7 linked regions of the Macaca mulatta genome follow. The protein of the gene in region 1 interacts with the protein of each later gene in a pairwise test. Links are inferred from orthologs where the notes say so. Each region holds a gene or a part of one and is shown in the gene's direction. Other genes may lie near its edges.

The links.
Region 2: the proteins of PPP1CC (region 1) and CSRNP1 interact in binary tests that used the Homo sapiens proteins (3 or more experiments, as listed by UniProt). The link is inferred for Macaca mulatta from reciprocal best matches to the Homo sapiens genes PPP1CC and CSRNP1.
Region 3: the proteins of PPP1CC (region 1) and INSYN1 interact in a two-hybrid assay, tested with the Homo sapiens proteins (2 studies listed by BioGRID and IntAct). The link is inferred for Macaca mulatta from reciprocal best matches to the Homo sapiens genes PPP1CC and INSYN1.
Region 4: the proteins of PPP1CC (region 1) and RANBP9 interact in binary tests that used the Homo sapiens proteins (3 or more experiments, as listed by UniProt). The link is inferred for Macaca mulatta from reciprocal best matches to the Homo sapiens genes PPP1CC and RANBP9.
Region 5: the proteins of PPP1CC (region 1) and PPP1R18 interact in a two-hybrid assay, tested with the Homo sapiens proteins (2 studies listed by BioGRID and IntAct). The link is inferred for Macaca mulatta from reciprocal best matches to the Homo sapiens genes PPP1CC and PPP1R18.
Region 6: the proteins of PPP1CC (region 1) and TOR1AIP1 interact in binary tests that used the Homo sapiens proteins (3 or more experiments, as listed by UniProt). The link is inferred for Macaca mulatta from reciprocal best matches to the Homo sapiens genes PPP1CC and TOR1AIP1.
Region 7: the proteins of PPP1CC (region 1) and YLPM1 interact in a two-hybrid assay, tested with the Homo sapiens proteins (2 studies listed by BioGRID and IntAct). The link is inferred for Macaca mulatta from reciprocal best matches to the Homo sapiens genes PPP1CC and YLPM1.

The regions. Positions count from the first base shown.
Region 1 is NC_133416.1:117,905,047-117,908,546, reverse strand, and holds part of PPP1CC (serine/threonine-protein phosphatase PP1-gamma catalytic subunit), read left to right. Parts: intron 1-2,466; coding exon 2,467-2,571; intron 2,572-3,500. UniProt on the Homo sapiens protein: Protein phosphatase that associates with over 200 regulatory proteins to form highly specific holoenzymes which dephosphorylate hundreds of biological targets.
Region 2 is NC_133407.1:101,446,837-101,450,336, reverse strand, and holds part of CSRNP1 (cysteine/serine-rich nuclear protein 1), read left to right. Parts: intron 1-335; coding exon of another isoform or gene 336-375; coding exon 376-592; intron 593-1,181; exon of another isoform or gene 1,182-1,806; coding exon 1,807-2,066; exon of another isoform or gene 2,067-2,232; intron 2,233-2,600; exon of another isoform or gene 2,601-2,619; coding exon 2,620-2,934; exon of another isoform or gene 2,935-3,031; coding exon 3,032-3,500. UniProt on the Homo sapiens protein: Binds to the consensus sequence 5'-AGAGTG-3' and has transcriptional activator activity. May have a tumor-suppressor function. May play a role in apoptosis.
Region 3 is NC_133412.1:51,481,282-51,485,459, reverse strand, and holds the start of INSYN1 (inhibitory synaptic factor 1), read left to right. Parts: upstream 1-1,378; 5' UTR 1,379-1,850; coding exon 1,851-2,006; intron 2,007-4,178. UniProt on the Homo sapiens protein: Component of the protein machinery at the inhibitory synapses, probably acting as a scaffold. Inhibitory synapses dampen neuronal activity through postsynaptic hyperpolarization.
Region 4 is NC_133409.1:169,401,130-169,405,113, forward strand, and holds the start of RANBP9 (ran-binding protein 9), read left to right. Parts: upstream 1-1,184; 5' UTR 1,185-1,514; coding exon 1,515-2,094; intron 2,095-3,984. UniProt on the Homo sapiens protein: May act as scaffolding protein, and as adapter protein to couple membrane receptors to intracellular signaling pathways. Acts as a mediator of cell spreading and actin cytoskeleton rearrangement.
Region 5 is NC_133409.1:152,359,452-152,363,567, forward strand, and holds the start of PPP1R18 (phostensin), read left to right. Parts: upstream 1-1,316; coding exon 1,317-2,927; intron 2,928-4,116.
Region 6 is NC_133406.1:37,313,566-37,317,065, forward strand, and holds part of TOR1AIP1 (torsin-1A-interacting protein 1), read left to right. Parts: intron 1-1,277; coding exon 1,278-1,319; intron 1,320-2,247; coding exon 2,248-2,316; intron 2,317-3,500. UniProt on the Homo sapiens protein: Required for nuclear membrane integrity. Induces TOR1A and TOR1B ATPase activity and is required for their location on the nuclear membrane. Binds to A- and B-type lamins. Possible role in membrane attachment and assembly of the nuclear lamina.
Region 7 is NC_133412.1:147,955,492-147,959,676, forward strand, and holds the start of YLPM1 (YLP motif-containing protein 1), read left to right. Parts: upstream 1-1,385; 5' UTR 1,386-1,509; coding exon 1,510-2,382; intron 2,383-4,185. UniProt on the Homo sapiens protein: Plays a role in the reduction of telomerase activity during differentiation of embryonic stem cells by binding to the core promoter of TERT and controlling its down-regulation.

The DNA.
Region 1 (3,500 bases):
GTGGATCACTTGAGGTCAGGAGTTCAAGACCAGTCTGACCAACATGGTGAAAACCCATCTCTACTAAAAATACAAAAATTAGGTGTGGTGGTGCACACCTGTAGTCCCAGCTACTCAGGAGATTGAGGCAGAAGAATCCCTGGAACTCGGGAGGCTGTGGTTGCAGTGAGCCGAGATCACATTGCTTTACTCCACCTGGGTGACGGAGTGAGACCCCACCTCAAAAAAAAAAAAATATCCAGAAGTGAAGCTGACCTTGGGGAAAGAGGAAGTCACTATCACTGGGGGGCTAAGGCAGCAGCCCTGTTCTTATAATACAGGTTAAGTATTCCTTACCTGGAATGCTTGGGACTAGAAGTGTTGCAGGTTTCAGAGTTTTGTGTTTTGTTTTGTTTTGTTTTGTTTTAATTTTGGAATATTTGTGTTATAATTACTGGTTAAACATCCCTAATCCAAAAATCTGAAATCCGGAATGCTCCAGTGAGCATTTCCTTTGAGCATCATGTGAGTGCTCAAAAAGTTTCAAATTTTGGAGCATCTTGGATTAAGGATACTCATCTTGTGGTGGTGGTGGTGGTTAGTAGTAGTATTGCTGTTGGACATGGGAGGTGGTGTTTTTGCAGATTGCCCATCAGCCTTTCGTAAGGAGGAGTTTGTTGGTTTTTTTTTTTTTTTTTTTTTTTAGATGGAGTTTCATTCACTCTTGTTGCCCAGGCTGGAGTGCAATGGTGCGATCTTGGCTTACTGCAACCTCTGCCTCCCAGGTTCAAGCAGTTTTCCTGCCTCAGCCTCCTCAGCCTGGCGGGAGGAGTTTGTTGAACTTTCAGAACCCCTCCAGTGAAGGAGTTAGTAGCCTCTAAAGAAATGCGCAACAGGGTGACCCACAGAGTTAGACCCAGTCATTGAGAAACCAGAAATTACTAGGAGAAAAGATAACACTCTTCTCTGCAGAGAGAAGGCAAACATTTGTTGAATTTACATTACATTTCAAGCCCTGTGCTAAACTCCCTAGACTGCTTGATTTGCATTACAGGGTGGGAAGTGTGGTTCAGGTCAGTTGTTTGGGCTGGCCCTAACTCTCAAAGGAGAGGTACAGGTTTAAACCTTTCCATGTCCCTGTAGTCCCCAGGAAAAGACTAATAGGGACAAACTCTTGGTTTGGTTTGGTTTGGTTTGGTTTGGTTTGTTTTTTGAGATGGAGTTTCGCTCTTGTTGCCCAGGCCGGAGTGCAATGGCACAATCAAGGCTCACCACAATCTCCGCCTCCCCGGGTTCAAGCGATTCTCCTGCCTCAGCCTCCCAAGTAGTTGGGATTACAGGCATGCACCACCACACCCAGCTAATTTTTGTATTTTTAGTAAAGAAGGGATTTCTCCATCTTGGTCAGGCTGGTCTCAAACTCCCAACCTCAGATGATCTGCCCGCCTTGACCTCCCAAAGAGCTGGGATTACAGATGTGAGCTACCCCGCCTGGCCAAACTGTTGGTTTTTAAAGATTGTGCTTAGTAAGGTACAGGAAACAAAGGCATCTGGACAATTGGACAGTCCTCAACCAATCCAGAGAAATTTGTTCTTGCAAGGTATGTGAGTAGGTTTTAAACTCAGAACATCAGTTTCCTGTAGAAACAGTGCATAGTGGCATATTTCTGTCAGAACTGCACTCTGACTCCAGAATGTGTGGATGCCTGTGCTGGTGAGAGAACGTGACCACCCTGTGACATCAGGCCTGTGGGAGCATGTGGAGTCTGTGCAGTGTTGGAAACAAATGCCCTGTAGTGCCTGTGAGAGGCACCACTGCCGTGTGATCATTGTGCCTCCTGCTAGAGCACTGAGGCCTGGGGATCCTCTGGTATCTGTAGGTTGTTGAGGGGAGTACATGGGGGATGGGTGCTAACTCAGGATTCCTCAGAAGGAAGGTCGTAATGCCACATGGTGTAAGTTCGTAATCGCCTTAAGAATTAGGGAACTAGCTGCGTTGAGATTGGACAAAGCATACTGGATTTCAGACAGAATTGATGCTACCAGATAATTCCTGGGATTTGATGGCAATCCTTAATCATTATCAAATCTGGAATTCTGGTTTCATACTTCTGTGGAATTTAAAAAGATTTCATGTGAAAATGTAAGTCATTGCTTTTAGATCAGATGTGTCTCTCCTAAACCCCTTCCCTCCAGGAGAGTCTTTCTTTAAAGAGATGGGGTGTCACTACGTTGCCCAAGCTGTTCTTGAACTCCTGGGCTCAAGCGATCCTCCTACCTCAACCTCCCGAAGTGCTGGGGTTACAGGTCTGACCCACCACGCCCAGCTCTTATTTTAAAAGAGTGTTAAAATAAGACAGTTTTATTAAGATTCTTAATAAAAACATAGTTTCGTTTGCTTAAAAAGCACCCAGAATCTTGCTTTGGGGGAAGTTAATCCTGAGAGAATGAGCCTACGGAACAGTAATACTCTCTTTTTGATCACAGGTAAAAGAAGATACAACATTAAACTATGGAAAACTTTCACAGACTGTTTTAACTGTTTACCGATAGCAGCCATCGTGGATGAGAAGATATTCTGCTGTCATGGAGGTAGTTGGGCTGATTTTTGTTCCAAATAGGTTTTGATCCCTTCCAAAGGATGAACACTTTAACATTTGTGAGTTACCATTGGGATGACTTCCTCTGACAGAACACTCTCCTTTGTTGATGTGTTGCATTGCACTGTCACTCCGATACAGCCAGGATTACTTGGATAAAAATCTTAAGGAACTGATTTATTACAGGGAATTCTAGACTCTGTAAATTAGGATTGAAAATAGAGCAGAAAATGTTTATTTTTATTTTATTTTTTGTAAGGATGAGTTCTCACCATGTTGCCCAGGCTGGTCACAAATTCCTGGGCTCAAACAATCCTCCTGCCTTGGACTTCCAAAGTGTTGGGATTACAGGCGTGAGCCACCGTGCCCGGCTCGGAAAAGTATTTTTAACTATAAAATGAACAATATGTAATTTGCTGTGCCAGGGATCCTCTAGAACACTGAAGATGTGAATAGATTTTCCCTTGTTTGTTTTTTATCCTCTCAGAACTTTCTCTGACTTGGATTTTAAAAGTTATTTTGTCCAGGCATAGTAATTCGCATCTGTAATTCCAGCACTTTTGAGAGGCCAAGGTGGAAGGATTGCTTGATGCCATGAATATGAGAACAGCTTGTAACATATCGAGACCCCTGTCATTAGAAAAAGTGTTAAAAATTAGCCAGGTGTAATGGTGCACACCTGTAGCCATAGCTATTTGGGAGGCTGAGGCGGGAGGATCACTTGAGCCCAGGGGTTTAAGGCTGCAGTGAGCTATGATCGCACCACTGCACTCCAGCCTAGGCAACAGAGGAAGACCCTATCTCTAAAAATATATACATACAAATTTTATAAGCTATTTTTCTTTGCTCAGTGGTTGTGCTTTCTATAATGTAATTAAAATAGTAATTGCAAAGAGAATTTCTTTTCATGTATGGTGTGAA
Region 2 (3,500 bases), on another chromosome or scaffold:
CTTCCCCTGTTGGTGTGGATGCGTGTGTGTGTGTGTGTGTGTGTGTATTGTAGGAGGTGGTGGGGAAGGTACCTAGTGCTTGGGAAGGCTTTGGGCAGAGGTGGGAGTTTGACACATCAGGCCATGGATTTGAACATTAGTTTGGAGGGAGGGAGGTGCTGTGTCTTGTGCAGAGATCCTCCTGGAGACCGTCCTCCGCCACACAGCGCTCCACAGGCAGGGCTGGAGGGCAGAGGCCAGTTTCTGGGATGCCTTGGAGGGTCAGTGGGAGGGATGATGACCCTGGCTGGAAGCCCACCTGCCTGCCACTTAGAGCTTTCTCATTCCCACTCCAGGCTGTCTGTCCCCAGACCCCAGAGCACCTCCGGCACCACCATGACTGGGCTGTTGAAGAGGAAATTTGACCAGCTGGATGAGGACAACTCCTTGGTCTCCTCCTCCTCCTCTTCTTCTTCCTCTGGGTGCCAATCTCGCTCCTGCTCCCCAAGCTCAAGCTCTTCTGTCTCCCGTGCCTGGGACTCAGAGGAGGAAGGCCCCTGGGATCAGATGCCCCTGCCTGACCGTGACTTCTGTGGCCCCAGAAGTTTCACCCGTGAGTCCTCCCTCCCCAGGGAATTCCATCACCTGCCTTCCTTCCTGAAAGATGAAATGTAGAGGTCCTTGACAAAATGCCTTTGGCCTCTGGAGGTCACGTCCCCATGGAGGTAGCTCTCACGAGCTGTGATACAGTGGTCACTCAGTGCCCACTGTCCAGGGGCACCTGAGCCCAGCTAATTCACCTTTGACCTTGGGAGTAATGACATCCAGGATGCAGCTCTCCAGAGTGCCCTCAGGGCCTTCCCGGTCTGGCCCCTCCCTTCTGTTCCAGTTTCGTTTCTCCAATGAGCACCCTACCCTCCTACAAATGGAACTGGAGTTCCCCGCCCGCCCCATGCTTCTCTGCCATGGGGCCTGTCAAGCCGGTCCCTCTCCTGTCAATGCTGTCCATTTTGCCTGAACATAGTGAAAAGGGGTTTTTCCTGGTTATTTTCAAGCTTGCATAATTGTGATTCCAGACTGACGAACGTGGCCCTAGAGCAGTGTTTCTGGACCTTATTTTTCATTATTGTTCCCCAGGAAGCCTATTAAGACATTTTCTCCTTAATTTTCACCCCCACCATGAAATTTTAATACAATAGATGTGCTGTTTACCTTTTTATATACTGTATGTATATCTGTGCATTACACATAAAAAGAATATCATTTTTAGCACATGTGATCTAACAGTATAAACAGAAAACCTTTTAGAAGGGAATTCCCCCTGGTAGCTGGGTATAAAATTAATACAGTAAGTTGAAATATATGGAATTTCCAATATTTCACCATTACATGGTAATTTATTATGGTTCAACCTAATGAAAATACCAGTACGTAGCTTACTAATCAATAAACATTAACTTGTAAAGGGAAAGCCTTTTTAAGCCTGTTGCAGAACACAGAAATCCTACAAATCAATAAAAAACAATAGAAAACTGTACAAAGGACCTGTACATGGCTAATAAACATAGCAGAGATGTTTAATCTTACAAATACTGTCATTTAAACTGGAAAATAACAATAAGCCAGTGCTGACATGGGTGTGATGTTCAGTTTCAGCTGCTCCAGTCCCAGCCACACAGGCTCCTAAATTCACATTTCTTTTTTCAAAGTGGGCGGAGAGGGAGGAGGGGGAAGGCGGGAGGCGGGAGGGCAGTCTGGCATGATCTTCCTGGAGGTATGTTGTGCCTCACTGAAAACTAATACCCAGCATCTTTGCCTGCTTTCCAGCCCTGTCTATCCTGAAGCGGGCTCGCCGGGAGCGCCCAGGCCGTGTAGCCTTTGATGGGATCACCGTCTTCTACTTTCCCCGTTGCCAGGGCTTCACCAGTGTGCCCAGCCGTGGTGGCTGTACTCTGGGTATGGCCCCTCGCCACAGTGCCTGCCGCCACTTCTCTTTGGCTGAGTTTGCACAGGAGCAAGCCCGTGCACGGCACGAGAAGCTCCGCCAGCGCTTGAAAGAGGAGAAGTTGGAGATGCTGCAGTGGAAGGTAGAGAGAGCCCTCTCCGTGGCCCACCTCCTAAGGCAGTTCCTGGAGTTCTAACCTCGAGGGGTGGGTGTACCAGGGGTGGGTGCTGACTTGCTCATTATGTATATGGGGAAACAGGCCTGTGGGCCTAGTGATTGGCTTGATTGGAGTCTGTTGCCTGGGTTGTCTGCAAACAGGAGGCACAGAGGAGGGCTTGTGTCTATTTGCTGCAGGGGCTGGGGGCATGATACCTGAATCTGAACTTGAACTTTTTGGAGAGGGGGATGTGAAGCTGATATGAATTAGGGGGGTGCGTATCTGTCTGGTTAGGAAAGGGAGTCTGTCCATGATCTAGAGAATGCCATGAGTAGGATATCTCTTTTTTTTTTTTTTCCCAAATGCCCTGAGGACTGTATTCTTGGCTGTCCTGTTCACTGTCTACACACAGTGCCCATCACAGATTAAGCATGAGTAGTGGGAGGGTAAGCACATGGGGAGGGTTTGTCTAGTGACAGTAGGGCTAAGCCCATGTCCACGTCTGTACCTCTCACATACCTCTTTCCTGTGGATGCAGCTTTCGGCAGCCGGGGTACCCAAGGCAGAGGCAGGGCTACCACCTGCGGTGGATGCCATTGATGATGCCTCTGTGGAGGAGGACTTGGCAGTCGCTGTGGCAGGTGGCCGGTTGGAAGAAGTGAGCTTCCTACAGCCCTACCCAGCCCGGCGACGTCGAGCTCTGCTGAGGGCTTCGGGCGTGCGAAGGATCGATCGGGAGGAGAAGCGGGAGCTGCAGGCACTGCGCCAATCCCGGGAGGATTGTGGCTGTCACTGCGATAGGATCTGCGACCCTGAGACCTGCAGCTGCAGCCTAGCAGGCATCAAGTGTCAGGTGTGGTGGCTGGACTGGGCTGGGATGGGGAACCTGAGCATGGGGACTTCTTTGTACTCCACGGTAATCCTCACTTGTACCTCTACTTTCTGTGCAGATGGACCACACAGCATTCCCCTGTGGCTGCTGCAGGGAGGGCTGTGAGAACCCCATGGGCCGTGTGGAATTTAATCAGGCGAGAGTTCAGACCCATTTCATCCACACACTCACCCGCCTGCAGTTGGAACAGGAGGCTGAGAGCTTTAGGGAGCTAGAGGCCCCTGCCCAGGGCAGCCCACCCAGCCCTGGTGAGCAGGCCCTGGTCCCTGCTTTCCCACTGGCCAAGCCCCCCATGAACAATGAGCTGGGAGACAACAGCTGCAGCAGCGACATGACTGATTCTTCCACGGCATCTTCCTCAGCGTCAGGCACTAGTGAGGCTCCTGACGGCCCTACCCACCCAGGCCTGCCTGGCCCTGGCTTCCAGCCTGGCGTTGATGACGACAGCCTGGCACGGATCCTGAGTTTCAGTGACTCTGACCTCGGCGGGGAGGAGGAGGAAGAGGAGGAAGGGAGTGTGGGGAACC
Region 3 (4,178 bases), on another chromosome or scaffold:
GCGCGCCCCCTCCCCTCACTTCCCCTCGCCGCGCCTCCTCCCCTCGCCTCTTCTCGCCTCCTCTCCTCTCCTCCTACCGGCGCTGCTCCCGCCTGCGCCCGGGCCGCCGAACCCAGCCCGGCCAGGGCCCCCGGCTTCGCGCGCTCTCGGCTGGGCCCGGCGAGGACTGGGTCCCCGCGGCTGACACCGCCCCTCCTCGGGGACCCGGTGGATTCCGGACCTTTCGGAACGTGAACTGAGCCGTTGGAGCGATCTCGCCCAGGGCCAACCGCGGGGCTGGGCTGAGCGGACCTTCGCGGCCGCTCCGGACGCCGCGGGTGCCGGGGCGCGGACGTTCTGGGTCCGGGCTAAGCGCGTCCCGGGCGCCCGGCGGTGCCAGCTCACTCCGGGCTGGGTAGGGCAGGGCAGACCCCGGCGGAGCCCGGATCCGGGCAATCTGGACTGGACAGAGCGAATCCCGGACAGTGCAGAGCCCGGGGAATGCCGGACGTGGGCTGAGGGGATCCCGGCGCCCTCCCAGCCCTCCGACTTTGGCTCACGCGCTGGGACCGGCCCGGCGTCTCCTCGGCCTCCCCGCGCCCCGGTCACCTGTGGCCTCAGAGCCCCGAATCCGCCGAACCCTCGCTCGTTCCCGACCCCGAGCCTGGAGAGGCTTGAGAAAGATTTTTACTGCCCCCTTCCCTGGAGTGCGGAGGCCCCGCCCCCCCTCACCGCCCAGATGTCTCCGGTCACGGCTCGGAGGACCTCCCTGAGGCCAGGGGCCGAAGGGTCCAGAGAGAGAAGCCCGCCCTAGGGAGCCTTGGGGGCCCCCCAACCCCGTCTTGGGGCTTGGCCCCCGACGCTGCTTGGAGGGAAGGCCGGTGCCCCCACCCTCGGTGAGTCCAGGAGTGGGGGTTCTGAGGGAAGGCGGGGCTGGGGGAGGGAGGGTCCACTGGGAACGAGGGCACCCTGAGGGCGCTAGGAGGGAGGATGGGTGACTGGAGAGGCCCTCTGGTGAACCAGCCTGGGCAGGCCTGGCTGGGGGGATGGGGGGGGTGCGGGAGCTACGGCCAGGGTGCCCCGTAGCAGGCTGAGGACTTCTGCTTCTAAAGCAGGGGCTCCCTCCCTTTCCCTCTAGAGGAGGGGCTGTGCTGTAAACCATCTGCCTCCACCACCCCTCCCCACAAAGAAAAAAAAAATCTCCAGCGAGGAAGGGTGCAGGCTGGCGAGAGGAGGGAGGCAGCGGCATTGCCGGCTGGTGCTGCAGCCTAGGAGGGCTGACGCCAGGCTCACTCTCTCCGCAGGGGGCTGCCCTCTTCCAATCCAGCTCCCTCCCCAGAGCTGCCCATATCCGGAGCCCCTTCCACATCTGGAAGACCCTGGCCACCATCCCTCTGCAGGTGTCAGTTGCATCCAGAGACCTCTGCCTTTGCAACTGCCTAGGAGTTGTGAGGGGATCCCTGCTGCCTTCCCCCATCCCAAGGGCATCTCTTACCCTTAGTCCCTGCAGAGTCATCCCCCTGCCTCTGTGTTCAAGCTCAGGCAGAGATCAGCTCTGCATACCCACAGGCACTTCAAGACCTGGAGGCCACTCCTGGGACCCAACGCCCCTCCCCCTGCCCTCCCGTGTCCTCACCTTGACCCCCTCTGCCAGACTCTGTCTTCTTCTGGGTGTCCCACTCCCCACCCAGAGGCAGAGGAGGCGGGGTGGCAGGGGGCAGGGGCTGGTTGAGGGCCGCCCAGGGCCAGGGTGGGCTGGGGGGCCGTTAAGATGTGGAGCTCTGCCCAGCCGAGGGGGGCTCCGTGGAGGCAGACGCAGCGTGTGCCCAGCTGGGGGGAGTATGGGCAGGCCTGCGGCCACGTGGTAAACGATGAACATTCGGGGCGCCCCGGACCTCGGGCAGCCCAGTGACGACCCCAGCAGTGGTGGTGAGCGGGAGCGGATTCGACAGCGCATGAAGATGGTCATCGGGCAGCTTGAGGGCATCCTTCGCGAGCTCAAGGAGGTGGCCAAGGAGCTGAGGGAGGTAAGTGAGGGATGAGCAGCGACCAGACAGACCCTAAAGCTGGCCTTCCTGGGCTTGGCACAAAAACATACTCACAAATATGTTGGAGTGTGCAAAGCTGTGTGCACATGTGTCACTCTACTGGGGACCTTCTTTCTCCTTGCTCTCCTTTCCCCAAATCCGCTTTGCTAAAAGTCTCATACCAAGGCTGGAGGGGCCTTGGTGTTGTAGAGGTTGCTTGAGCAGCATGTCAGTGGGCCTGGAGCTCTGGATTAGCACCAAGGGCTGCCAAGATGGCCAGTAAGGACTGAATCCCCGGCAGCTTCTTAGTGGAAGACACCCTTCTGGGACCCAAGCTGACCCTTGACCCCACCATCTGTCTCCCAGACTCTGACCTGGTCACAAGGGGCCCTGGGAGAGTGTGGATGGCTCTGCTGAGGTGATTCCAACTGCTTGAGGCCCAGCTCAAAGCATATCCCCAGAAATCACACAGATACTGAGAACCCTTGATCTTGGAAAAATTTAAGCCAACTATGTCCTCTTTGTCCTGGGGTAAGAATGGGTCTGGGGGTGCTGTAGTGGATAACAGAGTTCCTTGCATATTGTGGCAGGGGCAGGAATCTTCCCTAAGGGGATGCATGTCTCCATCCCACTGTTCTAAATATTTTTGCCAAGGCTGAAAAACCACTGAGAAATGCTGGGATGTGTGTGTCCCTCTCTGTCTTTCTAAGTGGAGCCGGGTTTAATTACTGCTGCTCACATCGCTGGGGTAATGAGGTACACATGTCCTCAGCCCTGCCCCCTGGGCTGCGTTCGAGTCCAAAATGCATGACCAGCGTTCTGAGCTGCTAGCCTGAATTTGCCCGCTGGGTGCCATTATACCAGCCAGGTGGGCTTTAGGCAAATTTCAACTCCTTGTAACGAGGGCCTCTGCAGAGACGGCAGGGAGAGTGATTGAGCTGGAGTTATGGGCTCAAGCTCTCCATGACTAGCTGTGCAGGAAGGTTAGGGGCTCTAGGAAGGCTGAAGAGGTGGGGTGATGGTAGGTACCAACTCCAGGCTGACAAAGTGGCATTGCAGCCTGGCCTGAGAGCCAAGGAGGAGGGGCTGTTTGACAGGCACTGTGTTCAGAATGGAGTAGGGAGTGGGCATAGAGATGCCAGGACAGGAGCTGTCCAGGGTCAGCCTCATGGAGCCTGTCAGGAAATTCCATCTCAGAAGATGGGAATGACTATTGCTTTGGGCAGACTGAGGTGGTGGTGCTTCTGCCCATGGACTGGGCTGGCCATAGTCTGGGTTGCACATCTTTGGACAGTACAATTTGGAGATCAAATGCCAGATGCCCCTGTGCAACCCTTCCTCCTCTAACCTCTTGGGTCCAAGGCACTACAGTTTCCCCCCTGCCCCCATCTTATTTTAAATCAGGGCCATAGGAACTGTCCAAAGTCTCAATCTTGGCCGGGGACATGAGACCCATGCCCTGGCAGGTACCTACAAAGAGCCAGGATTGACTCTAAACCTGGGAGTCAACTTTGATACAACTCCCAGCCTTTTCCCAGCTGGGCATCTTCCAGGCATCTGTGTTCCCTCTCCCCCCAGCATAGCCACCCAGAGCTCAAAGGGATCTCATGGGACAGCCATTTACTATTGAAGAAACTGAGGCCCAGAGAGCAATAGGGGCTTGTCCAAGGTCACACAGCCTACCAGTGGCAGAAGTAAGCCTAGAACTCGGGTTCCTGATGCCTTTTCTGGGGTTTCAGCAGGTGAGCAACTGGGCGATCTCTTTGCATTTTGACAGGGGCCTTCCAGAGATGATCCCTTATGCTCATCTGTGATGCAATAGCTCTAGAATTTATTTGCAGATCTTTTAGATGCCCTCTCCTTCCCTTTCACACTCACCCACTCCCATGTCTCCAATAGCAGAGCTCCAGGTTCATAGGCTATGCAGCCCAGAGGCCTAAGCCAGGACAGAGAAAAATGAGTCCCCTCCCCCCACACACCCTGTAGGCCATGTGCCTCCACCCAAGACTTTGGCAGGTTGCTACGGCAACCAGAGCCTACCCCGTATGCCACTGCCTGCCCGCTGCCAATGGCACCCAGCTGGGGGAGTGGGTAAGCCTCAGAACTCTCTCATCCCCCAGGCGGGGTCTAGACACAGGGTGACAGGCAGAGGGGAGTGTGGAGGAAGGCAGG
Region 4 (3,984 bases), on another chromosome or scaffold:
GGCCAGATAATGTTGGCCTTAAATTAAATCACCTTTGGCCTACCTTCTTCAAAACGAAATAATTTTCTCTTCGGCAAAACATTTATTTGACCAAATGATTACCATCGTATCTTTGGAAGCAAACAAAATATCAGAATTTACATCATATAATTTACACATGCAAAGCCCGATTTTGCCAGCTAGGGAGGGATACGCTAAACAAAGGGAAGTGGTGAAAACAAAGTAGTAATGTTATGATGGGTCAGAGAGCAACACTTGGCAAGTTGTGCCAAATTAGTCGACGAAGCACTCTATTGGGAATTGCAAAGTAGGAAGTCCTATTTTTGACTCTGCTGACCTCAGTAAATATTTCCTTGTTTTAAAAATGGGCATAATTTTCTGTTACCTAAGAACAGTTATGAAAATTAACGAGTCTATAAAATGTTCTGACGTCTCTAGAAGCCCTTCCTAAACACACACTATAATTGTGTATTCATACAGTGCCTGCTCCTGGTATTTGAAGATATGCCGGTTTTTATTAATGACACCTTCTACCACTAAGTTCACTGTGAGTCCTCGTAAAATTAATTAATGAAATAGCCACTATTTTAACTGGGAGACTGCCTTCAGAAGTGGTTTCCCCTGCCCATATGGTCAATGTTACGAAATTAAACACTGTGAAGTACCAAAGGCAGTGCGTTCCTCTTTGGAGGGAGGCGGCAAACGGGAACCGGACTGAGAAGAGAGCTAGCGGCAGTGCGCGGGGAGCCTCAGCCGCTCCGCACGCCCCGAGCCGACGGGTCCTAGAGCGACCCGGGGCCCGGGCTCGCGGCGGCCCCAGCGGGGCTCGATTACTCTCGCCTGGGCGAGAAGCGGCGTCTCGGCTCGGAGGAGCCCTACGGTGGGGAGGTGGGGCGACGACAACAAAAAGAAGTCAAGTGGGAGGGGATTCGCCGGCGAGGGGGGAGACGGCGGCCGCCTAGCGGGAGGAGGCGGACATCTCCGAAGGGACCTGCGGCGCCGGGAGCCCAGCGATCCTGCCCACGAGCGACTGGCGGGTCCGGGAGGGCGCCTCGCGGCGTGCAGCCGGGAGCCCCGCGGCCCGCCCCTCGCGCAGCTCGCGCCTCTCTCGCGCCTCCGTCCCGCCCCCTCGCCTAGCACCGCCCGCGCGCAGCGTCTCGCGCCGGCCGGGCCCGCCCGCCGGGAAACAGCCGCGAGAGCAGCGGCCGCGGCGGCCGCCAGCGCGCCTTCCCCTCCCGCGCTACCGCGTCGCCCCCGCCCTCGGCACCTCGTCCCCGGGCCGCGCGCCCGCGCTCCGGCCAACGTTCTCTCCCGGCCTCCCGGGCCCGCCGCCCACTCCCGCGTCTCCGAGCCCCTCAACCGCCGCGGTCTCCCTGGGCGCGCGGCCCGCCGCCTGCTTCCGGGGCGGGCGGACTGGGCGCCTGGTGCCGGCGGCCGCAGCGACAGCGCCCCCGGGAAGCAGAGGAGGAAGGAGAGAAGAGGTGGAGGTGGCCGCAGGCTGAGTCGCGGCCGGGATGTCCGGGCAGCCGCCGCCGCCGCCGCCGCCGCAGCAGCAGCAGCAACAACAGCAGCAGCAGTTGTCGCCGCCACCGCCGGCGGCCTTGGCTCCAGTGTCCGGAGTCGTCCTGCCGGCGCCCCCGGCCGTCAGCGCCGGCTCCTCTCCAGCCGGCTCGCCCGGCGGCGGCGCGGGCGGCGACGGCTTAGGGGCCGCGGCGGCCGCCCTGCTCCTCCACCCCCCGCCGCCGCCGCCCCCGGCCACCGCGGCCCCGCCGCCCCCGCCGCCGCCCCCGCCGCCACCTGCCTCAGCGGCCGCCCCCGCCAGCGGGCCCCCAGCGCCTCCGGGCCTCGCCGCGGGCCCCGGCCCGGCCGGAGGCGCCCCGGCCCCAGCTCTGGTGGCGGGCAGCAGCGCCGCGGCCCCCTTCCCGCACGGGGACTCGACCCTGAACGAGCAGGAGAAGGAGCTGCAGCGGCGGCTGAAGCGCCTCTACCCAGCCGTGGACGAGCAGGAGACGCCGCTGCCTCGGTCCTGGAGCCCGAAGGACAAGTTCAGCTACATCGGCCTCTCTCAGAACAACCTGCGGGTGCACTACAAAGGTACTGGGCTTGTGTCCTGCCGTGGGAGTGGGGCACTGACCCGACGTGGCCGGCCACCGCTGCGCCGCTCTCGACCCGCCCCCGACCTCCCCCGACCCCCGCCCTCGCGGGCTCTGCCCTCGGAGGCCACTCGCCGCTTGTTGTGCTGCTCCGGGTGGGCGCGGGGGTCGCGGTGAAGGATCCGAGGGTGAGGGGCGAGATTCTTGGAAGAGGAGGGTGAGTAGAATGCTCCAGGGTAGGAAGGAGCTGGTAATCTTAGGCCAGGAGCAGGACACCTTGAGGGAATCCGGGATGACAGGACAGAACTGGCTTTCTGATTTCCCTGGGAGATAAATCTTGGGGCTTGGGTAGAGGAATCCATGGACTCGGAGTTGGGTTACATTGTTCTCCAGGTGGTGGGTCAGGCGTTCTCCTCTTACAAGGAGGGAAGAGAGGCACGATTCTGAGGTATGATTTCTAATTAAGAGAGAGCAGGGATACGCAGGGGGAGGAGTAATCAAAATTAGGCCAGAGATTGTCTAGGGGGACTAAAGGACAAGGGACCCAAGTTTGCCATCAGTATATCTTAGTGAAAGCAACCGGGAGGGTAAGAGAAGGGAACCCCAGGAGCACCATTTTTCTTAGGGGAGCAGAAACCTACCTCTCCCGATTGGAAGTACTCTATACAGGTCCTTAGGTGTTGATGTTATATGAAGCCTTGTTGAAAACGAAGATGGAACAAAATGCAGCTTAGTATTTTGAAGAAAATTGGCTTATGTTTTCCACCTGCAGTTAAAAACAACAACCTTAGGTTTGTGCTTGCCCCCTTCCTTCCTCACCTACCTCTCCTAGGTTAAAACAAAGCTTGAAGCAAATCAGTTGTATATAAAATTATGAATTGCTATGGGAACTATTGAAATGTGGCCCAATTTAATAGCGTGTATCAAGTTTACTTGTGTGGAAGAAAAAAAAAAATCAATCTAACGTATCAGTCTGTCTGGAAACAAATCCAGGGTTTTAGGCCCCAAATCTAAAGCAGGAGCTTTTTACATTCACGGCAGCCTCACTTTGATTGGCTACAAAGGGGTCTGCTCAGATCCTAGTGACATGTATGTAGAGGGGATAAACAACCTTGTGGTTAAATTCTTATATGGGACTAAAATTTAAGAAGAAGCTTGATAAGTAAGTTACTATTTAACCAGAAAGGCGAATGGCAATACAAATCTACCAAATGATTTGGCTGCAAAGAATCACGCACAAAAATAGGCCTTGAACATTTTTTAATTCTTGCATACATCCAAAGAAGTACTTCTAAGTGTTATCTTCCTTAATCTAAACGTCTAAACATTTCATTCACAATATCAAATCTTTGTTTTATCTTAAGTTAGGACATTTTGTTAATTTCCTTGTGAAATATTTCTACTTTTATGTTTTAATTTGTGTGAACGGTGCTATGTTATGAAGTGTTTACTTCTGATCTGGCTGCCAGAAAGCTATTGTTAGATGTGACAGAATTTTATAATTTTAAATTTATGGTTGACAGTAATTTGCTCATAAAATCAGAGCCAGTATAGATGAACAAAGAATCCTAGATTTCCTGAGTTCTGCAGTCGTTTGTGGTTGTGGATATTTTACAAGACTGGGCCTCAGTTTCTTCCTCTGAGTGATGTGTAAGTTGAGCTGGAAGATTGGTAGGGAAATTTACAGCTCTGAATTTCCGTGATGTCTACGATTCGTGATTACTGTTTATTTAGTACTGTAAGGTGTCTTGATTAGTTTTAGTCTTTTACATAAGATTCATGATTTAGGTCAGAGAAAAATATATGTTTATGTGAAATTAGTTGGAGTTTGAAATATTTCTGACACTGCTACATTCCTGACACTGCTGTCTCAATTGTTTTTATTCTTGGC
Region 5 (4,116 bases), on another chromosome or scaffold:
CTTAGACAAAGCGGTCGCCGCCCCCGCCCGGCCCCCTGGTCTCTGTCTCCGTCCCACCTCCTTTGCTGCCTCTTTCCCTCCTCCTCTCCTTCCCTCCTCTCCTTCCCTCCTCTCCTTCCCTCCTCCCCTCCCTCTAGTCTCCGGATCTCCCTCGGTCCCTCTCTCCTCCTCTTCCTCTCTCCGGACGCCCGGCTCCTCGGCACCCCCTCCCGCGGGGGTCCTGCGGCGTGTGAGTTGACTGAGGGGCTCAGACTTGGGGAGTGGGTGTCTCCTCGCTCCGGTCCTTGCTCCCATCCCTGGCCCGGATCTTGGCTGTCTCCTCTTTGTGCCGAGATTGTCAGTCTGTGCGTCCAGAGCGGGGTGGAGACTGCCGGCTCTGTCACGGCTCCATGAGAGCGGGGACGGGGCACAGGACTTGCAGGCGCCGGGGAGAAGAGACATGGAGCCGGCCCTCGGCACTCTGGGGTCGCGTGGCGCAGCCGGTGGGGGAGGCAGGCGGTGGTGACGGGACAGGGTGGGGGTGGACGCCAGGGTTCTGGGAACGCGCTGGCAGCCCTGACGCCCGGGTTCCGAAAGTCCCGGGGGTGGGTATTTCCCCCGACCCGCCTCGGGGGCGGAGTGCGGGGCAGAGGGGTGGGGGCTGGGGAGAGGCGTGGCCCGAGCGGTGCTGGAAGGGGAGCCGGGACCTTTGGGGCCCGCGCTGAGACGCGCCGGGTTGCTGCCGCCGCGCTCCTTTCCCCTCTTCCTTGGTTTCCCTTCTCCCCTAGACCTCTTCGCTTTCCGCTCCTCCTTGCCTCCCCAACACCCCCTCAGGTCCCGTTGCCTCCTGGTCCTTCCAGGGATTCCTGGTCCTTCCTTCCCACACTAGTCTCCCTGGGGTATCGCTGAGGCAGTCTGGCCTGCACCCAGATTCCCCTCACCCCAGCCTCATTTCTCTCTTCTCCCTCACACCAACTTTCCTTTTCGCCCTTCTCTCTCTGTCTCACATCCTAGAGACTGTCTTTAATACGCATTAACCCTGACTGCCACATCTGGCTCCTGCCCTCATTGCCTCCAATCTGGACTCTTCCTCTCACATCACCCCCACCACCCCCAACTTGGGCTCACAACTTCTCTTCACTTTTTCCATTTCCCCAGTTCTCTGCCTTCCCTCTTTCCCTCTGTCCTCATCCTTAGCCCCCCTGCCCTGCTTTGTGTCCCACCTCTCCCCCTCCACTTCCTCTCCTCCCACCCTCAGTCTCCCCCCTGGGCCTCTCTGGAGCCTCTCCTTCCTGTTCTCTGCCCCCAGTGCTCCCTACCCTCACCTCAAGGCGACCATGGCCACCATCCCAGACTGGAAGCTACAGCTGCTAGCCAGGCGCCGGCAGGAGGAGGCGTCCGTTCGAGGCCGGGAGAAAGCAGAACGGGAACGCCTGTCCCAGATGCCAGCCTGGAAGCGAGGGCTCCTGGAGCGCCGCCGGGCCAAGCTTGGGCTGTCCCCTGGGGAGCCTAGCCCTGTGCCGGGGACTGCAGAGGCTGGCCCTCCAGACCCAGATGAGTCTTCGGTCCTTCTGGAGGCTATTGGGCCAGTGCACCAGAACCGATTCATCCGGCAGGAGCGGCAGCAGCAGCAGCAGCAGCAACAAAGGAGTGAAGAGCTGCTAGCAGAGAGAAAGCCTGTGCCTCTGGAGGCCCGGGAGCGGAGACCCAGCCCTGGGGAGATGCGGGATCAGAGCCCCAAGGGAAGAGAGTCAAGAGAAGAGAGACTAAGTCCCAGGGAGACCAGAGAGAGGAGACTGGGGATAGGGGGAGCCCAAGAGTCCAGCCTGAGGCCTCTGGAGGCTCGGGACTGGAGGCAAAGCCCAGGAGAGGTGGGAGACAGGAGCTCCCGACTGTCAGAGCCATGGAAATGGAGGCTGAGTCCTGGAGAAACTCCAGAGCGGAGTCTGAGACTAGCAGAGTCTCGAGAGCAAAGCCCCAGGAGAAAAGAGGTGGAAAGTAGACTGAGCCCAGGGGAATCTGCCTACCAGAAGTTGGGCCTGACAGAGGCCCATAAATGGAGACCTGACTCCAGAGAGTCTCAGGAACAGAGTTTGGTACAACTGGAGGCAACAGAGTGGAGGCTGAGGTCAGGAGAAGAAAGACAAGGCTACTCGGAAAAATGTGGCAGAAAAGAAGAGTGGCCAGTTCCAGGGGTGGCTCCGGAAGAGACTACAGAGCTGTCCGAGACCCTGACAAGGGAGGCCCAAGGCAGCAGTTCCACAGGAATGGAGGCAGCAGAGCAGAGGCCTGTGGAAGATGGCGAGAGGGGCATGAAGCCAGCAGAAGGGTGGAAATGGACCCTGAACTCCGGGAAGGCTCGAGAATGGACACCCAGGGACATAGAGGCTCAAACTCAGAAACCAGAACCTTCAGAGTCAGCAGAGAAGCGTCTGGAATCTCCTAGTGTGGAGGCTGGAGAAGGGGAGGCTGAGAAGGAGGAGGCGGGAGCTCAGGGCAGGCCTCTGAGAGCCCTGCAAAACTGCTGCTCTGTGCCCTCCCCCCTCCCACCAGAGGACGCTGGGACTGGAGGCCTGAGACAGCAGGAAGAGGAAGCAGTGGAACTCCAGCCCCCACCACCAGCCCCTCTGTCTCCCCCACCCCCAGCCCCAACTGCCCCCCAACCTCCTGGGGATCCCCTCATGAGCCGCCTGTTCTATGGGGTGAAGGCAGGGCCAGGGGTGGGGGCCCCCCGCCGCAGTGGACACACCTTCACCGTCAACCCCCGGCGGTCTGTGCCCCCTACGACCCCAGCCACCCCAACCTCTCCAGCCACAGCTGATGCTGCAGTCCCAGGAGCTGGGAAGAAGCGGTACCCAACTGCCGAGGAGATCTTGGTTCTGGGGGGCTACCTCCGTCTCAGCCGCAGCTGCCTTGCCAAGGGGTCCCCCGAAAGACACCACAAACAGGTAGGGAAGCAGCCAAGCCAGACTTCTTAGAAGCCCACTTGTCAATTCTCTTTGGACTCTGGTCTTTATTTCTTTTTTATACCCCTGTTTTCTTGTCTTCCTCTCTTCTTTCTTGTTAATTCCTGCCACCACCCTTCCTCGCTCTGCACATACACCCTTCCTTCTCAGAGCCCTCCTGTTCCATTTTGAGCCCAAAAGATCCTGCCCCAGCAAAGGCCGTCTCTGGGTGTGTCTCTTTCAGGGTGTGCCCGGCTGCTCATTCTCCCTTCCCTTGGGCTCTGAATTTTCAGCCCCCTTTTCTTTCCTTCCTTTCCTGAGTGTGACCCGCCCCAGCCCATCCAGTGGGAAAGCCCAAACTGACAAGCTTGAATCAGTGAGGGCAGCGTCACGAGGGTGAAAGCACTTGCAGTTTTTCTGCGGAGAAGGGATAGGGAGCCTGGGGTGGCGGAGGGGGTGCGTTTGTGTTCTAGGGAGAAACTGTAGGGAGAAGTGAATGGAGGAAGGTCCAACTGCCCCATGGGAAAGAGGGCAGAGCTGAATAGGGACATCTTAGGATGGAGGGGAGAGGGGAGATGGAACTGGGCCGGCCAAAGAGCAGAGAGAAGGCTTTTGAACCCTGAGTCTGCCCCATGGGAGAGACACAGAGAGGCCATTTGAAGTGGGTGACCTCGGGGTTGCACACCCCCAGCTGGGCCACTGCTTCAGACAGTGCTCCCTTCTCTCTTGGGACAAGAAAAGCCTTCTCCTCTTCCAAAATACTCCCGCCCCTCACTCCCCCGTCCTTCCTCCCTGGGTTTCCCCTCCCTCCCAAGAACTGGCTTAGGGTTCGGTTTTCCCCTCTCTTCCTGCCATCCTGGACTCTCCCTCCCCTTAGGGTAGTGAAAGAGAGAAGTGAATTTGGAGACAGTTTTGAGAGCAGGCACTGGCCAGGGAGCACAGTGGGAGTTCTGGATAGGGGTCAGGGCTGAGGCCAGCAGAGGGTCAGAGGTTAGACTTGCAACAAAGACCTGCAGGAAAGTGGGGGCAGCTAGGCTAACTCCCCCTGGCCCTGGCCTCATTTCTTCCCTGTGCACGCCCACCTGTTTCCAGCTTGAAAATCTCTGGCGAGAGAGAGGTCCCACCTCAGACATCTCAGACTTAGGAAGTCCCTCCAGTCACACACATCTCCCCAGAGCCTGGGATGCCCAGT
Region 6 (3,500 bases), on another chromosome or scaffold:
TCAGGGCAGATCTGAAAATTCACCTTGTTAAAAGGTGCCATTTGTTAGTCATCCCATTGTGTCATTTTACAGTTATCCTTAAATACCTCCTCAAAACCTGAAGTAGCATGTTTTACTTCATAGCTACTTTGCAATGTCCATAAATCTGCATAGATAGTATATACCATTTCTCTATGGTATGGTATGTGGTATATGATATGGACTGCCTGGATTTGTGTATCGGCCCCACTACTTTTAGATATATAATTTTGGAAAAATTACCAATTTTGGTTTTCCCTTTTTTTTTTCGACATAGAGTCTCGCTCTGTCGCCCAGGCTGTAGTGCAGTGGCGCAATCTTGGCTCACAGCAAGCTCCGCCTCCCGGGTTCACGACATTCCTGCCTGCCTCAGCCTCCCGAGTAGCTGGGACTACAGGCACCCGCCACCATGCCGGGCTAATTTTTTTTTGTATTTTTAGTAGAGACAGGGTTTCACCATGTTAGCCAGGATGGTCTTGATCTCGACCTTGTGATCTGCCCACCTTGGCCTCCCAAAGTGCTGGGATTACAGGTATGAGCCACCACATCCGGCTGGTTTTCCCTTATTTATAAAATGGGAACAACAATAGCATCTGCCACACAAGAATTAAGCAAAATTGGCTGGGCACGGTGGCTCATGCCTGTAATCCCAGCACTTTGGGAGGGCGAGGCAGGCAAATCATTTGAGGTCAAGAGTTTGAGACCACCCTGGCAAACATGGTGAAACCCTGTCTCTACTAAAAATACAAAACATTTAGTCTTGCGTGGTGGTGCACACCTGTCATCCCAAGTATTTGGGAAGCTGAGGCAGGAGAATATCTTGAACCCGGGAAGCGAGGGTTGCAGTGAGCTGAGATTGCACCACTGCACTCCAGCCTGGGTGACAGAGTCAGACCCTGTCTCAAAAAACAAGAATTAAACAAAATTATACTCAATAGCTGATACACATTGACTGTACGTAATCATTGTTTTGATGGTACTGATCCTAAAACTGACTCCTTCTTGTTGTCCAATTCCTAAACATTTTGAAGTTTAGAAATGAGGGGAAAAGAAATACACTTTTATATATATATATATATAGTATATGCATGGTTTTTATATATATATATACACACTTATATACTTACATGCTTGGAACTGATGTTTTTTGTTTGTTGTTTGTTTTAGTATCCACAGTAAACAAGCAAAATGTCTATGCAGCATGTTTTTTGTTGTTATTTTCAAGTATTCTATGACCTCATCCCTGTTTTCTGTTTCAGGTCGCAACTTCACAGCTCATGATAAGCAACCTTCAGTGCTGAGTAAGTAGTTGGTTGCCTGCTCTTTTTTCAGTCAATCAATTTTTTTTTTTTTTTTTTTTTTTGACGCAGGGTCTTACTCTGTGGCCCAGGCTGGAGTGCAGTGGTGCTATCTTGGCTCACTGCAAGCTCCGCCTCCCGGGTTCACGCCATTCTCCTGCCTCAGCCTGCTGAGTAGCTGGGACTACAGGCGCCCGCCACCATGCCCGGCTAATTTTTTAAATTTTTTTTTTTTTTTTTTTTTTTTTTTTGAGACGGAGTCTCGCTCTGCCGCCCAGGCTGGAGTGCAGTGGCCAGATCTCGGCTCACTGCAAGCTCTGCCTCCCGGGTTCACGCCATTCTCCTGCCTCAGCCTCCTGAGTAGCTGGGACTACAGGCGCCCGCCACCTCGCCCGGCTAGTTTTTTGTATTTTTTTAGTAGAGACGGGGTTTCACCATGTCAGCCAGGATGGTCTCGATCTCCTGACCTCGTGATCCGCCCACCTCGGCCTGCCAAAGTGCTGGGATTACAGGCATAAACCATCGTGCCTAGCCTCAGTCAATCAATTCTAACCTTGCCTTATTCTCCTAACAAAAGTCGTAATAAAATTTCAAGTCATTTTACCCCTCTTTACCTTTTTAATTCACCACGGATTGGTACTACCTGTAATAATTACTCTGTGATGTGGAAATGTGTTCAGGGCTATTTTACCACAAGTAATTTATACTGAGTGATAATATATTTATTTGCTACCTGCTTTGCTATAGGAAGTGGTTCATCCTCACTGATAGGATCCTTTGAAATTATTTTTTACTTATAAAACTATTGCTTTTATTGTTTTCTTCCCCTCTTTTATTTTGTCTTTCTGATAGATTAATTTTATAGCACTGGAATATGGTATAAACTTTCAAAGTATGGGAAATTATCTTTTGATATATGTATTTGCTTCAGGCTCAGGATATCAAAGAACTCTTGAGGAATGGGCCCCCCAGACTGCAAGAATAAGAACTAGGATGCAAAGTAAGTAGATAAAGCTCTGTTAGTGAAATAATCTGAAGCGTATTGGCTATGTTTTTCTTGACAAAAATGTTTAGTTCTTCAGGTAAACATTTAGGTTGTTTGTGATTTCACTAATAAAGTACAGCTATGATTACTAGGTTAGTAATTTCTATTTGCTTGGACTGGCAGCACATGGGCTAGGTGTAGAATGTAAATACTGGCGGGAGCAAACCAGAGATTGATGAGTCTTAACAAGCTCTCAGTTCTAGCAGCAATACAGGCTGTATACAATAATGAAATTCTACTCTTTTAACAATACTTATTTTTCGCTTTTAGCAGATTTTGGAACAGCTTTGTATACTCATAATTTTACATAATAAAGGCTGAAATGCACAAGTTATATTTTCATGTTTAGGGTTTGGGTTTTTTTTTCTGTTTTTTGTTTTGTTTTGTTTTTGAGATGGAGTCTTTCTCTGTTGTCCAGGCTGGAGTACAGTGGTGCAATCTTGGTTCACTGCAACCTCTGCCTCCCAGGTTCAAGCAATTCTCCTGCCTCAGCCTCCGAAATAGCTAGGACTGCAGGTGCGCACCACTACACCTGGTTAATTTTTGTATTTTTACACGCCCAGCTAATTTTTGTAGTTTTAGTATAGATGGAGTTTCACCATATTGGTCAGGCTGCTCTTGAACTCCTGATCTCATGATCCACCTGCCTTGGCCTCCCTAAGTGCTGGGATTACAGGCTTGAGCCACCGTGCCCAGCCTTTCTGGGTTTTTGTGTTTTGTTTTGTTTTTGTGTTTTTTGAGATGAAGTCTCCCTCTGTTGCCCAGGTTGGAGTGCAGTGGCATGATCTCAGCTCACTGCAGCCTCCGCCTCCCACATTCAGGTCATTTTTGTGCCTCAGCCTCCTGAGTAGCTAGGACTTGTATGCATGCGCCATCATGCCCAGCTGATTTCTGTACTTTTAGTAGAGATGGGGTTTCACCATGTTAGCCAGGCTGGTCTTGAGCTGCTGACCTCTAGTGATCTGCCTGCTTCAACCTCCCAAAGTGTTGGGATTACAGGCATGAGCTACCACACCCAGCCTCATGTTTAGGTTTTGGATGGATTAAATGTCACAGAATTTAAGGAATACTATAAATTTATGTGATAAAACCATCATACTCTGAACCCACTTTCTATAATTTCTGTGGAAATGTGTCCA
Region 7 (4,185 bases), on another chromosome or scaffold:
ACTACATTTCTATTTGAGAACAGAAGCTCTTCCTTCTGAAGGATGCCTTGCTGCTCCACTTTCCATTCACATTCACCTCCTGAGAGAGGTGAAGATCTGGGTTGCTAAGATGAAAGAAAGGTCAACTCTTTGCATGTTACTCAAGTGATGCACTGACACAATCTTCTCACAGTTCTCCCACCACAAACACACACCCAACAGAATTCAGTGTATTAACTTTGTTTTCAGTGATTCACTCAAGCTAAATAAAGAGTTTATGTTTGGTATTATGTTGAGAGTTTTTGGAAGATTGTCTTCCAGGTTGTCTTTAGACCATCTTTTTTTTTTTTTTTTTTTTTTTTTTTTGAGACGGAGTTTCACTCTTGTTGCCCAGGCTGGAGTGCAATGGCGCGATCTCAGCTCACAGCAACCTCCGCTTCCTCAGCTCAAGCGATTCTCCTGCCTCAGCCTCCCAAGTAGCTGAGATTACAGGCATGCACCACCATGCCCTGCTAATTTTGTATTTTTTTAGTAGAGACAGGGTTTCTCCATGTTGGTCAGGCTGGTTTCGAACTCCCGACCTCAGGTGATCCGCCCGCCTCAGCCTCCCAAAGTGCTGGGATTACAGGCATGAGCCACCACGCCCGGCTAGACCATCTTTGTATCTGGTTTTTGCTCTCTTCGCTTTCGCTCTGAGATTCTGCAACACAGATTTATAGTTGTTGAGATAGTCTAAAAAATTCTATTTCTCGCCTTTTACAATTCCTGCAGATGTTATTACTATGTCTGCAGGAATTGGTGTAATCTTACACGCAGCCTTGAAAACACCTTTCCATTCTTCACAGCTTTGTTCCCAGTAGAATTTTTGGGTAGACCTGAGTTGGGTCTATTCATTTAATTTGGGAGAAACTGACATCTTTACAATTTTTCCTCTTTTCACCCAGGATCATGGTAAGCCTCTCCATTTTTTGAAGTCTAATTTCATCCTACGTGGATATGCTTCTTTATGACTCTGTAGTTTTCTACATAGAAATCCTACATCTTTCTTGTTAAGAGTTTTTCCTAGTTACGTTATTTTTGTTGTTGTTGTTGCGATTGTTGCTATTGTGAATGGAACCTTTTTTTTTTTTCCATTCAAAAATGAACCCGTGGAGCGATAGGATCTCTACCACCCCTTTCGGCTGAGAGACTCTATGGTTTTACAGTTATATGAGAACATTCTACTCGCGCTTACATTATCTGAACCCAAAGGAAGATGGCAACCACGAGTCTCCAAGTAAAGGGCCGCTCTATCTCGCCTTTGTTCTCCTCTCGGTGGTTACTGCGCAGACGTAGTCGCCCAAGTCGCGTCCCCGCCTTCCCGGTCGCGGGCCCAGCTAGCGAGCGCCGGCGCACTGGCGCGCTCCGTTTACACGCTCCGGGGCCTGTAGGCGCCGCGAGTTCCGGCTGTCGCCGTCGCCGCCGCGGCTCCTGGAGGTCGGTTGCGACTAGTAACGGTGCCAGGACGAGCCCTACGCCTTCTTTTTCGATATGTACCCGAACTGGGGCCGGTATGGCGGGAGCAGCCACTATCCGCCACCGCCGGTCCCACCGCCGCCGCCAGTGGCGCTTCCTGAGGCCTCGCCGGGGCCCGGGTACTCGAGCTCGACGACTCCCGCGGCCCCCTCCTCCTCGGGCTTCATGAGCTTCCGCGAACAGCACTTGGCGCAGCTCCAGCAGCTGCAGCAGATGCACCAGAAGCAAATGCAGTGCGTGCTTCAGCCCCACCACCTTCCTCCGCCCCCCCTGCCGCCCCCGCCGGTGATGCCAGGGGGCGGCTACGGAGACTGGCAGCCGCCACCGCCACCGATGCCCCCGCCACCTGGGCCGGCCCTCAGCTATCAGAAGCAGCAGCAGTACAAACACCAGATGCTCCACCACCAACGAGACGGGCCTCCTGGTTTGGTTCCAATGGAGCTGGAATCCCCCCCTGAATCTCCCCCTGTGCCGCCCGGGTCTTATATGCCACCATCTCAGTCTTACATGCCCCCACCTCAGCCGCCACCCTCTTACTACCCCCCGTCCTCATCTCAGCCCTATCTGCCTCCTGCTCAGCCGTCCCCTTCGCAGTCCCCACCTTCCCAGTCCTACCTGGCGCCCACCCCTTCTTACTCATCCTCCTCCTCTTCCTCGCAATCCTATTTGAGCCATTCCCAGTCCTACTTGCCCTCTTCTCAGGCATCTCCTTCCCGCCCCTCCCAGGGCCATTCTAAATCCCAACTACTAGCTCCACCACCACCGTCCGCCCCCTCTGGAAATAAGACAACTGTCCAGCAAGAGCCTTTGGAGAGTGGGGCCAAAAACAAGAGTGCTGAACAGCAGCAAGCCGCCCCTGAGCCAGATCCCTCTACGATGACTCCACAGGTAAGAAAGCATCTGCCTGAGCCTCATCTTTCACCTAGAGGGCCCTGAGTGAGCAGGCCTCAGGGCTTTAACCAGTGCTTAGTCTAATTCCAACACACAATGACTAGCTAACACTCCAAAGGATTCCACGAGAGTCAGAGGGCCGACAGCTCAGCTTTTTTAATTAGCTAGATGTGAATTACTAAAAAAACAGCGTTTGTAGATGTGTATGGATTACATACAGTGGTGGAGTGGCTTAAAAGTTACCTCCCAGATATATCCCTTGGTTTCTTTGACCATCCTCTTAGATGGGAATTGTTGCTGTTGCAAATAGATTTTGTTGCAGAGGGTCTTGTTTTAAAACTGTATTTTAAACTAAAAATTCCATTTGAGAGAAAGCATGAAAAAGAGGCCTCTCCAAGGGCTGATGCTTGAATGTTTGCAAACCTTATGACCAGTTAGCTTCTTTTAAAAATACTACTTAGGGGCCAGGGATCGCTGTCAGCTTCCTGAATTAAGAGGTTTCAGAAAAAGGATGGAAATCTTGTCTTACCAGGAGCATCCTAATTATGTTTATAGGTACATATATAATACATAGGTGACCCTAGACCCTTTTGGGGATCGGTTGGTCCATTTTAGGAGTTTACCCAGACATCCTTTTCTCATATTATTTAAAGATTGTTTTAAGATAATGAGCAATTTTCTGCATTTCATTGTCATTACCATTCACTCCAAACAAACAGCCTTGGAATATGGCCAACGTAAAAAAAAGTTTGGTGATACCTTTTCATGAGAGAGCCAGCCCTTCTTATCCCACAGAACAGACAAATTGACAGGGTAGCAGTAATAAACGAGTTCCCCTTTGAAAGAGGGAAGGTCAAACTAAAGCAGAATAAATCAGTTATGATTTCCTAAAGCAATTACTAATTTACCTTAGATTCATTAAGGAAAAAAGAGAATCTTGTAATATAAACGCTCAAATTTACCTATAAAAGATTTCCAAAAGATAGTGATGCAGTATTATAATTTTACGATAGTTTGGCATTAGAAATTAAGAACAGAAGCAAGTTTTTTTTTTTTTTTTTTTTTTTTTTTGTTGAGACAGAGTCTCGCTCTGCCGCCCAGGTTGGAGTGCAGTGGCCCGATCTCAGCTCACTGCAAGCTCCGCCTCCCGGGTTCACGCCATTCTCCTGCCTCAGCCTCCCGAGTAGCTGGGACTATAGGCGCCCGCCACCTCGCCCGGCTAGTTTTTTGTATTTTTAAAGTAGAGACGGGGTTTCACCATGTCAGCCAGGATGGTCTCGATCTCCTGACCTCGTGATCCGCCCGTCTCGGCCTCCCAAAGTGCTGGGATTACAGGCTTGAGCCACCGCGCCCGGCCCCAGAAGCAAGTTGTTTTAAGAAATGATGCTTGGCATATCTTCTGGAGAAAACACTTAGGATGCTGAAATAAAGTAGTAGAATAATGATTCTCTTGGTTTACATCAAATTTGTACCATCTCCCCAGTTTATTTTCCCCAGATTGCTCTATTATAGAGACAGAATTTTGTCCTCTTTCCCACCCCACTCTGAAGTTTTTAGTGCTTTTGTTGTCAAACATTCTCAGAGTTAGTCTGAGCCAAAATAGGACATTTGTGTTCTCACTCTACTAGACTGTTTTTCTAACCTTACAGAGAGACAAATTAGTTGTATTTTGGCTTTTTTTGGGAGGAGTGTTTGTGTCAGATCAGGCCTTAATATGTATAGTTACCATGAACAGTGCTATTACTTTTCTGCCTTGTACTCTTGTCTGTAATGAACTCAGTGTCTTGAATATTCAGTGCC